2 linked regions of the Arabidopsis thaliana genome follow. The protein of the gene in region 1 interacts with the protein of each later gene in a biochemical or structural test. Each region holds a gene or a part of one and is shown on either strand. Other genes may lie near its edges. The genes, in order: AXR3 and TIR1.

What was found.
Region 2: the proteins of AXR3 (region 1) and TIR1 form a complex in vitro, tested with the Arabidopsis thaliana proteins (one study listed by BioGRID).

The regions. Positions count from the first base shown.
Region 1 is NC_003070.9:1,134,301-1,139,245, reverse strand, and holds AXR3 (AUX/IAA transcriptional regulator family protein), read right to left. Parts: upstream 3,169-4,945; 5' UTR 2,865-3,168; coding exon 2,626-2,864; intron 2,313-2,625; coding exon 2,101-2,312; intron 1,787-2,100; coding exon 1,648-1,786; intron 1,507-1,647; coding exon 1,445-1,506; intron 944-1,444; coding exon 906-943; 3' UTR 583-905; downstream 1-582. UniProt on the Arabidopsis thaliana protein: Aux/IAA proteins are short-lived transcriptional factors that function as repressors of early auxin response genes at low auxin concentrations.
Region 2 is NC_003074.8:23,272,385-23,278,518, reverse strand, and holds TIR1 (F-box/RNI-like superfamily protein), read left to right. Parts: upstream 1-1,888; 5' UTR 1,889-2,337; coding exon 2,338-2,804; intron 2,805-3,537; coding exon 3,538-4,030; intron 4,031-4,215; coding exon 4,216-5,040; 3' UTR 5,041-5,454; downstream 5,455-6,134. Other genes in the region: AT3G62970 (zinc finger (C3HC4-type RING finger) family protein), read right to left, coding at 5,821-5,958, 6,048-6,086. UniProt on the Arabidopsis thaliana protein: Auxin receptor that mediates Aux/IAA proteins proteasomal degradation and auxin-regulated transcription.

The sequences.
Region 1 (4,945 bases):
GACAATAATAAATTACTTGTAGCTCATTTCTGAAAGTGATAAAGGATACAACGTAATTCCATATTTCTAGTGGTTTTTCATTTTTCATTATAGAGAGGATATTTGTGTATAATTATGATAACCTTGTTAATAAATTTAGTTGGTATAAAAGTTAATATTCCTAATTAATTTAATGGGAAATTAAATGATAAACAAAGGTAATGAAATGAAGAGACCCATGAATATGCACATGGCATTGCTCCCTCTCTTCCCTATGGGTCCTATTTCTCTATTTTATTTCCTCCAACCAAAGCCAATTATCACTTTAAGTACCAACAAATCAATATACCAACAAAGTGAATTTTCCCCATTTTTGTAATTATATTCATCTGATATAACATATGTATATTGTAATATTGTAATTCTAATTATACCGACTTCGAAATTATACTTGGGGAAAGTTTACTTTAGGGTCAAATACTCGATCGCTATGATCTTTAGTTTCACTTTCAAGACGAACCAAAAGAATACTGTTCTGCCTTTAGAAAATAACTGACTATTAAGAGACTGAAATTAAAGAGAAGTAATGTGAGATTAAATTTTCCATAGTGGAATAAAAATCACATATTCCTTATACGAATATACACATCTTTGGCAAAATAAATAAATAAAGACAAACATATACATAGGAATAGGATGTTCAAATTATTACACATTTTCCATTACAAATGTCTCAAATATTTAACTTAAGTTCATTACACATAATAGCATACAAACTATATCTACATACCAAATCCAGATCAAAACACAGACAATCAAAAGAAACTGAACAATGTATTTCATCGTAAGAAAAAAAAGAGCAATTAACACCAATCAATGTGTTAATCAAATATATAATCGATACCACTTATCCTTTTAATTTGACTTCAAGCTCTGCTCTTGCACTTCTCCATCGCCCTCGGAGCTGAAATATTTTTACAATTAATAAGCAAAGACATTTGACCACGGTATTTATTCTGTTAAAAGAGTATATTTTTTATTCCCTCTGTTATTTAATCTCTTTCTTTTTTTGCATTTGACAAAAGAGAATCAAATATCATGTATTATATCAATGATTTAAAAGATCAAAGCGATAAGTTTTCTTTCGACAAATTTGTTCTTTACGGTAGAAATATAATTGTGCGAAAAATAATGAACGGTTTAAGCGTTTGATGATTAGACATCATCTTAAACGATAGCATATTAAATTATTTAGGCGACCAAGTTATGCGGTTGAGGTGTACATTATAGTAAACTTTTAAGCTCTTTTGTAAGTTTTTTTTTTCTTTTTGGGGCAAATCTCTTTTGTAAGCTATTTTAACTATATTGTATACATATACACGTAAATTTTAATTTAAATGGGTAACAAACTGAAATCAAAATTTAATCAATGTGAATATAATATGCATTGGTAGAAAATACATACCGAGACCAATGGCATCCGATCCTTTCATGAGACGTAAACGCTTGCATGTATCGACGAACATTCTAATAAATAAAAAGATTAAAACAAATGGTTATTTATTAGAAACAAATAAATGACATAAACAAAAATAAAGCTCGAATTTTAACCGAAACAATAAAGCTCTAATTAAATGGTAATTAATAAGGGAGAAGAAGAAGACGTACGGCCAAGGAACGTCGCCGACGAGCATCCAATCACCGTCTTTGTCTTCATAAGAGGGAACATAGTCCCAGCTATTCACCAAATCCATCAATTTCCTCTCATTCATGAAGTCTATCATTCCTTCTTCTCCTCCATGTTTGCCTAAAATAATCTTAGGTATAAGAACTTGATATCCTGAATTTAAACTTGGTGGTTTTCTTTTATGGTGCAACAAATGAAATATACATTTTTCGCAATTGGATTTTATCACATAGTTTTCTTTTCACAGTTTCTAAACTACTACTAACGGGTTACTCAATTATGAAATATTTGTATACTCGATAACGGTAATTCATTTGGGACTGATCTATCATCATGATGATTAATTTTTCTTTCTATAGTAACAATTAATTAGTAACTAAATGTGCATGGAAGGATCTACATATATATATAAGGAATATACTTATAAAACGTACCCATGGTAAAAGAGCTGAACATGTTGGACAAAGCATTAGAAAGCTCATCGTAGCTTTTATACATCCTCAAATCGATTTTCCTCAAGTACGGTGCTCCGTCCATTGATACCTTCACGAACGCCGCCGCCTCCGGGCCACCGCTTGATTTTTGGCAGGAAACCATCACGTTCTTCCGGTATGATCTCACCGGTGGCCATCCCACAACTTGTGCCCTATATTTTTTTTAAAACGGAAAAACGGTTATGTTATACAAGATATAGACTGTAGTTAGCTTTGACGTGATGTCACATAAATTTTACTTGCATGAGACTATGGGTTAAACATAATTAAATATATTAAGACATTGGACGATTTAAGAAGAGAAAAAAACCGTAGACATATGATAAAATGGTTTTGGCGAAGAAAAATATATATCTTTAATGAAATTTCTGTTTTTTTTTGCAGTCACCTTTACAAAAATGTTAATATTAAGAGCAGTAGAGAAGAGTGGAAAATAAATCATAAAGGACAAAATAGTAAAATTACTTGGCCGGAGGTTTGGCTGGATCTTTAGGACAAGCACTCTTCTCCTTGGAATCAAAAGTCACGACGTCATGAGTCGTAGATCCTTCCTTGTTTGCAGGCTCATTATTCAGATTTAGCTTCAGATCAACCGTCTCTGAGAACCCTCTCTTGTTTCCGGTTACCGGAGCCACTGTATCTCCACCGGGAAGACCAAGACACAGCTCAGTCTCCCTCAGATTCAGCTCGACACTGCCCATCATTATTAACCTTTCTTCTTCTTTGGTGTTCTTCTTCTTGGGAAGGTGATGAGGAAGATGGAAAAATGGTTTTATAAAAACACTCAAATAATACAAAGTGAGATGAGTCTGTATTATATCTCTGTCTAGGAGGTAGCTGCATGTGTATGTCGTATTTAAGAGATCTTTGATTAAACGGGTTTTAGACACGTGGATGAATCTAAGCCCTTTGATTAAGTCATCATCCTCGAGTTTTAGTCTTTTAGACTAATCAGTAATCACTGTTATTACTCTATTACTGTTATTGAATCTTTCTTATGATTTATCTTGTAGATTATGTATATATTATTGCATTTGACTATACAAAATGGATATATATTTTAATCCGTCTTTAATCGTTTTTCTCCCGTTAAAAGAGATATATAACATTTTGAGATTACAAGCGAAAGCACAAGTGAAGGAAAGATTTTAAAATTACAAGTGAATTATGAAACACATTCGAAGCAACCAAGTGAATTAAGTGGTGATGAACCGATTAATTGATATGGGGTATCTAACTAAATATATGTATATACCATATGGTCTTAAAAACTATATCAACGTATAGTTTATAAATATATATTCTTTTGAGTGGCGAGGTCGCAGACATCTCATATGAGAGTGTTACAATAGAGATGTACATTATTATTAATATAACTATATTATGCTTTTTGACTTCTAAATATAATTATTAACTAATGAATATATATTCATGATTTTGATTATTTTTCCCCGTAAGATTCTTCGCCGGAACCTTCCAATTATGCATATCACATCCACATGATTCAATTATTCATCCCACAATAAAAGCGCAGCCCTCTTGTATATAATTATTCTCATGCCAATACAAAATAAAGCATACGGTACATCTTCAATATTTATTGATTAAAAACTCACCTATAAACACGTACAGCGAAATGTGTATCTAGACACATAAAAACGCATCATTACTCTTTAATGTTTATACTTTGTAGTTAACAAACTATAAATTGCAATATTATAAACACCACTTTGTAGTTAACAATAAAATTGGTGATTAATTTTCTTTACAGATATTTACAGATTAAATTGACTACTAAAATATAATGTCTGTTTTTGATTATTGAAAATTATTTTTCTTCTTTTATATTGCTTGTGTTATTCTTGTAGTATGAAAGTTTTCAACAATAGGGTAGTTTTTTTTTTTTTTTGTAGTTATGAAAGCACCTAAATTTGTATTACATTTTCTATTAATTTGTCTATATTATCGCATTTCTAAACAAAAAAACAAATTCTGTCGCACTTCCAAAACATATTTTGTTTTTATTTCATCAATCACGCTTCCAAAAACAAAAATGATATGTTTTGGAATTGTATTTTCACGGCGCTTTTGCGAATTTTCAAACTTTCGTTCAAAATTCGACTTTAGTGATCTACTAGACACTGGTTTTAGTTCAAAGTAATCAGTTAGGCGTAAACTGTGAATACGGGACGTTTAAATAACACCAAGCGTACTAACCATAATTAACCAACGTAAATTCAATAAATATGAAAATAAAGAGGGAAAAAGGCATATTCCTACCCTAATAAAATCTATGAGAGGGGACATGAGTGGCATCAAAATCCAAAGGAAGAGAGGGTACAATTAACATCACCATAAATTCCAAAGCCAAAATTTAAATTAATGAGAAGAAGAAAAACATGGAGATGATAAAGGGACAAGTTACATCAAATAAAATTCAGGGGCGAAAACATCTTAAACCCTACTTTTGTTCCTTGCCTTGTCTACATCCTCCTCTTTAACCCTTTTCTCTCCTTTTGTTTCTATCCCAAAAAACTCTCATGAGTTTTCAAATCAACGTACCCCAAATTTTTCAATCGAATTTTGGGTCACTTTGTCTTATATATCACATCATTTTGTCGTGTTTTATCAATGTGTATCTACTTTGTCTGATCAATATATATATCTACTGATCACTATGGAATTCACATGAAATTGTAAACCAGTGAATAATATAAATTCTCGGTCCAGCCTACATGATTACAAAAAAATGCGCCCGCACACATAAATGGATTGTATGCGAAAC
Region 2 (6,134 bases), on another chromosome or scaffold:
AAGACATAATCCAAATTAGCTTTATAAATCACGTGCCACTTTACTTGTACTTGTACACCACCTCTTCATCAATCGCATTATATATATCACTCATCATCTATCTTATATATAAACAGTAGTATTATGTAAATACTATAGTACTATGTTATTCTTTTATATATGTCCGTCCACACATGCGTACACATATTTCTATCTCACATAAACAGTAGTAGTATAATGCAGTCTGTAATATTCTCGGCTTTTAGGTACACAATTTATAATTCATTCAGAGTTGGATCTAATATCGCTGAAGAGATAATTAAAAAAATAATTAGGGAGATAATTAAGGGATAATAGACAGCAAAGAGCAAGCTAGTTTTGAGTACGAAACCCGAGACTAGGAGAAAGAAATAAGAGAGATTCGCGGGGGAGCCATGCGTGGGATTATTATTCTAATCATTTCCTTAAAAAATTCATAATCAATGACCTCTTATTATATCAGTGTAAGTTAATCCCTTTTTCTGACGACATTAAAACTTATAATTTTAAAAAAACTTAAGCGTATTACGTGCAAGACAACTCAGCTCCACACTTCTCCCATCTGACTATACTCAGCCCTCTCTTTGTTTTTTCCTAATTATCTCTTTCTTCGTTACTACCTCAATTTCTGAGCACTTGCTTGCTACATTTTTTTTTTTTAAAATCTTCGTATTTGTATGTATGTCATTATAATTTTTAGATTTTATTTTTGGTTTAAGAACTAATCAACAGTACATTCAAAAAGAAAACTAGAAAGGTGCGATATTTTAAATAGTAGTTTAAGTGGATAAACGGTCAGGATGGTATGTAATACGAAGATGATATAGAACAGTTTGATAATGTGACAAGTTTTTTTAGTTAGGGCAGGACAGACCTATCAACTCCATGCTCAGACTCTGCAAAGCCCATCATACACTGTTTCGAGAAGAAGGGCATTCTCGTCAATTCAATACCCATTTATTTTCCTCTAAGCCGTTGTACTTGCGACAGAGCCCGAAATAATTGTAGTTTTTATACGTTTATTACACCCAGACGAGGTAAATTAATTAAGAAGTAATTATTAATTTTAAAAGTCACGATTGTGTATGTATGTATGTCCGTACACTGTTAAAAAGGGGTCCCAGATCTGACGGTCGTGATTAAAATGCGACGCTGCACTTTCTTTCTTTCTTTCTTCTCTACTTTATTCAAATTTTTCAGTATCCATTCTTTCTCTCTCTTTTTTTCTTTCTCTACTCATAAAAGTTGTTCACTTTAAATTATTGGATACTTCCCTCACATTTACTCTTTTTTGTGCAATCCTTTCAATTTTAATTTAAATTATTCAGCAATCTTCAAAAACATACAAATAATGTTTTAATCCAATCTCACACGAAAACACTGATTCTTGTTATGTTAATTCATCATTCAACTCTATTTACTTCACTTTAATGCTATGAGAAAGGATACACTTTAGTTAATCAAATTTATCAATACTATATATTACTAGAAAATAGAAAATGAAACTGTGATTAGTCTTGATGGTTTATTTATGAATCCAAGTGGTGGGTAAATAAATGAACATGCAAAACTAATAATAGGAGGAGATAGATGCTCAGATTCCACATCAAAACATGATTGGACGGTTGTGATGTCATCATAAATAACAGTAATAGCTTCTTTTTTTATTGTTTTGTTACCGTCAGATCATTAGTAGTCTAGTATTTTTTTTAACATTCTGTTGTGGTCCCCGCAATTTACGGGGCTTCCCCTCATATCCAGCCGTGCATCGCGTATCATTAGATTCCCTCTTCTCCTACACCTTACCACACCCTATCATTGATCTCCTTCTCGCGCTATTTTGATAGAAGCCGCGATAAGCCGACCCCCCCTCTCCAATATCTCGTCCCGTTTTCTGCGGCTGCCCTTCTCTGCACAGTCGATAAGATAATCTCCCGCTTTCATTCAATCGGACGGCTGGTATTTGAAGCTTATAAGACACGTGTCATCATCAGAATCGACAATCACAATCACCGAAAAGGCTCACATGGATATGTTTGACCACGGTTAACTTTTAACCCAACCATGGTTGGCTTTTTTAACTTGACCTCCTTCTCCTTCCCCCTATCCTTTTCTCTTCTCTTCCCACTCTCTCTCTCTCTCTATCTATCTTCTTCATCTTTGTTTCAGCTTCTCCTTTGAAACTAGATTATCTCCGTTAATGGCGCCTCAGATCTAACCTTGGGAGTTATATATATATACTTGTTCAACTCTTCTTCGAACGCTGTCCAACTTCTTCCTCTGGTTCGATCATCGAGATCTCGAGGTTATTTGGCCGCAATGCAGAAGCGAATAGCCTTGTCGTTTCCAGAAGAGGTACTAGAGCATGTGTTCTCGTTTATTCAGCTGGATAAGGATAGGAACTCAGTCTCTCTGGTGTGCAAGTCATGGTACGAGATCGAGCGGTGGTGCAGGAGGAAAGTCTTCATCGGGAACTGCTACGCCGTGAGTCCAGCGACGGTGATTAGGAGGTTCCCGAAAGTGAGATCCGTGGAGCTTAAAGGAAAACCTCACTTTGCTGACTTTAATTTGGTACCTGACGGATGGGGAGGTTACGTGTATCCATGGATTGAGGCCATGTCTTCGTCTTACACGTGGCTTGAAGAGATAAGGCTGAAGAGGATGGTGGTCACCGACGATTGCTTGGAGCTCATAGCCAAGTCTTTTAAGAATTTTAAGGTTCTTGTGCTTTCTTCCTGCGAAGGCTTCTCCACCGATGGTCTCGCTGCTATCGCTGCCACTTGCAGGTATTCTTTTTCTGAATGTTTTTTGTTTCATCAAGAAGACTCCCTTGTGTCTCTAGGAAGAAGCTTTTGTTTGTATTAAACTTATTGGTGTGTGATTTGTATATTCATTATACTACATAAAGTCTCAATTATAGCAAATTCATGTACTTGTTATTTGATCTGGGCATATAGGTTTTGCTGCGTTGTTCCTGCTGATGTTACTCTGGTCTTTGTGAGCTTTTTTTTGGTTTGGTCAAGATTTTGCGTATCTAAAAGATATATGTTTTAATCACGTTTCTGAAGATTCTTATTATAGCCACTCTCTTTTTCTTTCTGGTGGGTCTTATTTAACGGTGGTGTATCTATTTATTCCTGGATTATTCGCTCTCAGTGAATCTCCTGAGGTGGGAAATCTAATCAATTTGGCTTTGTGTGTGTTACTTTTCTTTTTGTAGGGGACTTTCAATTTTCTTTTTTTACCTTGTTGGGAAACTTAGATCTGTTTTCGGATTCCCCTTCTTTACTCGCTTTAGCTCTGTTTTAGCATCTCTCACATTGCTTCCACGTGATAAATTTAGTAATTTGTTATTGTTCTATGCTTAGATAGTTTCCCAAAGTGATCTTTCTACATTGTATCAAATACAACTTTGGACAAATTAATGACAATTATGCTCATGTATTGTAGGCAATGTTTATGTTCTCGAAGTTGTATAATGTGGGTCACTCGATGCTAATTATGTGATTTCTTATGCAGGAATCTGAAAGAGCTTGACTTACGAGAGAGTGATGTTGACGACGTTAGTGGCCACTGGCTTAGCCATTTCCCAGATACATACACTTCTTTGGTATCACTCAATATATCTTGCTTAGCATCTGAGGTCAGTTTCTCTGCTCTGGAAAGGCTGGTGACTAGGTGTCCCAATCTCAAGTCTCTCAAGCTTAACCGAGCTGTTCCACTTGAAAAATTGGCTACTTTACTTCAAAGAGCACCTCAATTGGAGGAATTGGGCACTGGTGGGTACACTGCAGAAGTGCGACCAGATGTTTACTCTGGTTTATCTGTAGCGCTCTCTGGGTGCAAGGAATTGAGGTGCTTATCTGGATTTTGGGATGCTGTTCCTGCCTATCTTCCAGCAGTTTATTCGGTTTGCAGTCGGCTTACAACTTTGAATCTGAGTTATGCAACAGTCCAGAGCTATGATCTTGTCAAGCTTCTTTGTCAATGCCCTAAACTGCAGCGCCTCTGGGTGAGTCCATTTTAACATACATTAACACATGAATTTGGAATAGGTCATTTTACTGTATGGTATGAGAAAGCTTATGTTCATAGTTTTCTTAAAAAATTTGAATGATATAGAGCAATATATCTGAATTATAAGCATTAAAGCCTTTTTCTTTTTGTAACTGTGCTCTAACTTATTATTGACTACAGGTGCTTGACTACATCGAGGATGCTGGTCTTGAGGTGCTTGCTTCAACCTGCAAGGACCTACGCGAGCTGAGAGTGTTTCCGTCCGAGCCTTTTGTCATGGAACCAAATGTGGCATTGACGGAACAGGGGCTTGTCTCCGTCTCCATGGGCTGTCCAAAACTCGAGTCGGTTCTCTACTTCTGCCGTCAAATGACCAATGCTGCATTGATAACCATTGCTAGGAACCGTCCCAACATGACTCGCTTCCGTTTGTGCATCATTGAGCCAAAAGCCCCAGACTATCTGACTCTAGAGCCACTGGATATTGGATTTGGAGCCATAGTAGAGCACTGCAAGGATCTCCGTCGCCTCTCTCTATCTGGCCTCTTGACCGACAAGGTTTTTGAATACATTGGGACATATGCCAAGAAGATGGAAATGCTCTCAGTGGCATTTGCAGGAGACAGTGACTTAGGCATGCATCATGTTTTGTCCGGGTGCGATAGCTTGAGGAAACTAGAGATAAGGGACTGCCCGTTTGGAGACAAGGCGCTTTTGGCCAATGCTTCAAAGCTGGAGACAATGCGATCCCTTTGGATGTCTTCTTGTTCCGTGAGTTTTGGAGCCTGCAAGTTACTAGGACAGAAGATGCCAAAGCTGAATGTGGAAGTCATCGATGAACGGGGTGCACCGGACTCGAGACCAGAGAGCTGCCCTGTTGAGAGAGTCTTCATATACCGAACAGTGGCTGGTCCTCGATTTGACATGCCTGGCTTCGTCTGGAACATGGACCAAGACTCAACAATGAGGTTTTCCAGGCAAATCATTACTACTAACGGATTATAAGACAAAGAAACGAGGTACATTTTTCATTAATCCTTGTTCATCATCCCATATAATCGTGTTCCGGTTTAGGAACATGAGAGAGCTCGGTCGCCAATAATTTGAATCTCGGCTGCTTCATATAACCATCAAGCTCATGAGCAATGAATAAGTGGAGAGAGAGAAAGAGAGATCTAAGAGAGCTTTGTTTTATTTATGTAAGAATTATTGATTGTTGTATGTTTATTTGGCTACTTACACTGAGAGATCCTGGTGGGGTATTTTTCTTAAGAGGATAAGAGATTTTTTTAAAAGACAATGTCAAAAATGTAACTGTTCTACTTGTTTTGTTTGGACTCTTTTATCCTTTTAAATGTTTTCTATCTCTCTCTCTCTTTGTCTTTGCCATTTCCTTTGTCCGCTTAATGAACTGTTTGCAGCCTTTTCGGTTTTGGAACAGCACCTAGTTTCGTCTCAGGTCCCTACACTCTCTTTATCACCATAATTAGAAACAAGAGAATCTTGCTCTGTGTAAAGGTCTTGGAATAGCATCATCGTCAAACGTGTGATAGGACACAATGTAATTGAACTGTTGTTTTTCATATGAAAAACAAGCTTTTTCAAATTTTCAGTTTACATGATGACTAAACACAGTAATACCATTTATATAACAGTACGATATTTTCCGTTTCAAGTGTTTTTAGGCCAAGAACAAAAATAAATAAGCAGAACACAGCCCTATCGCTCTATGGTTGGACCAATGACGGGAAAATTCAATGAAGAAGAGTTGGCTTCAGAAAATGATCACTCTGTTTCACTCACTGGATCTTGTGGCGTTGAGATTCTCCGAGTGTTGTATGAACCGCAATCACTGCACTTGTGTCCCAAAATGTGGAACATAGCTTTACTCCCCTTGTTGCAGTCATTGCAGAGAATTGAAACCTGCAGACATTTTCTTGGCGGATGTAAAACCATGAGCACAAGGAAAACAAACCAAGAGGTGGCACAACGTTGGATTTTTAGACATTTACCTCAAACTTGTACTCAACAGGCATCTCTGTTGCGCTTATCTGTACAAAGAATGTTGGTTGGTCTTTACCTCAATAAATTCACCAAAT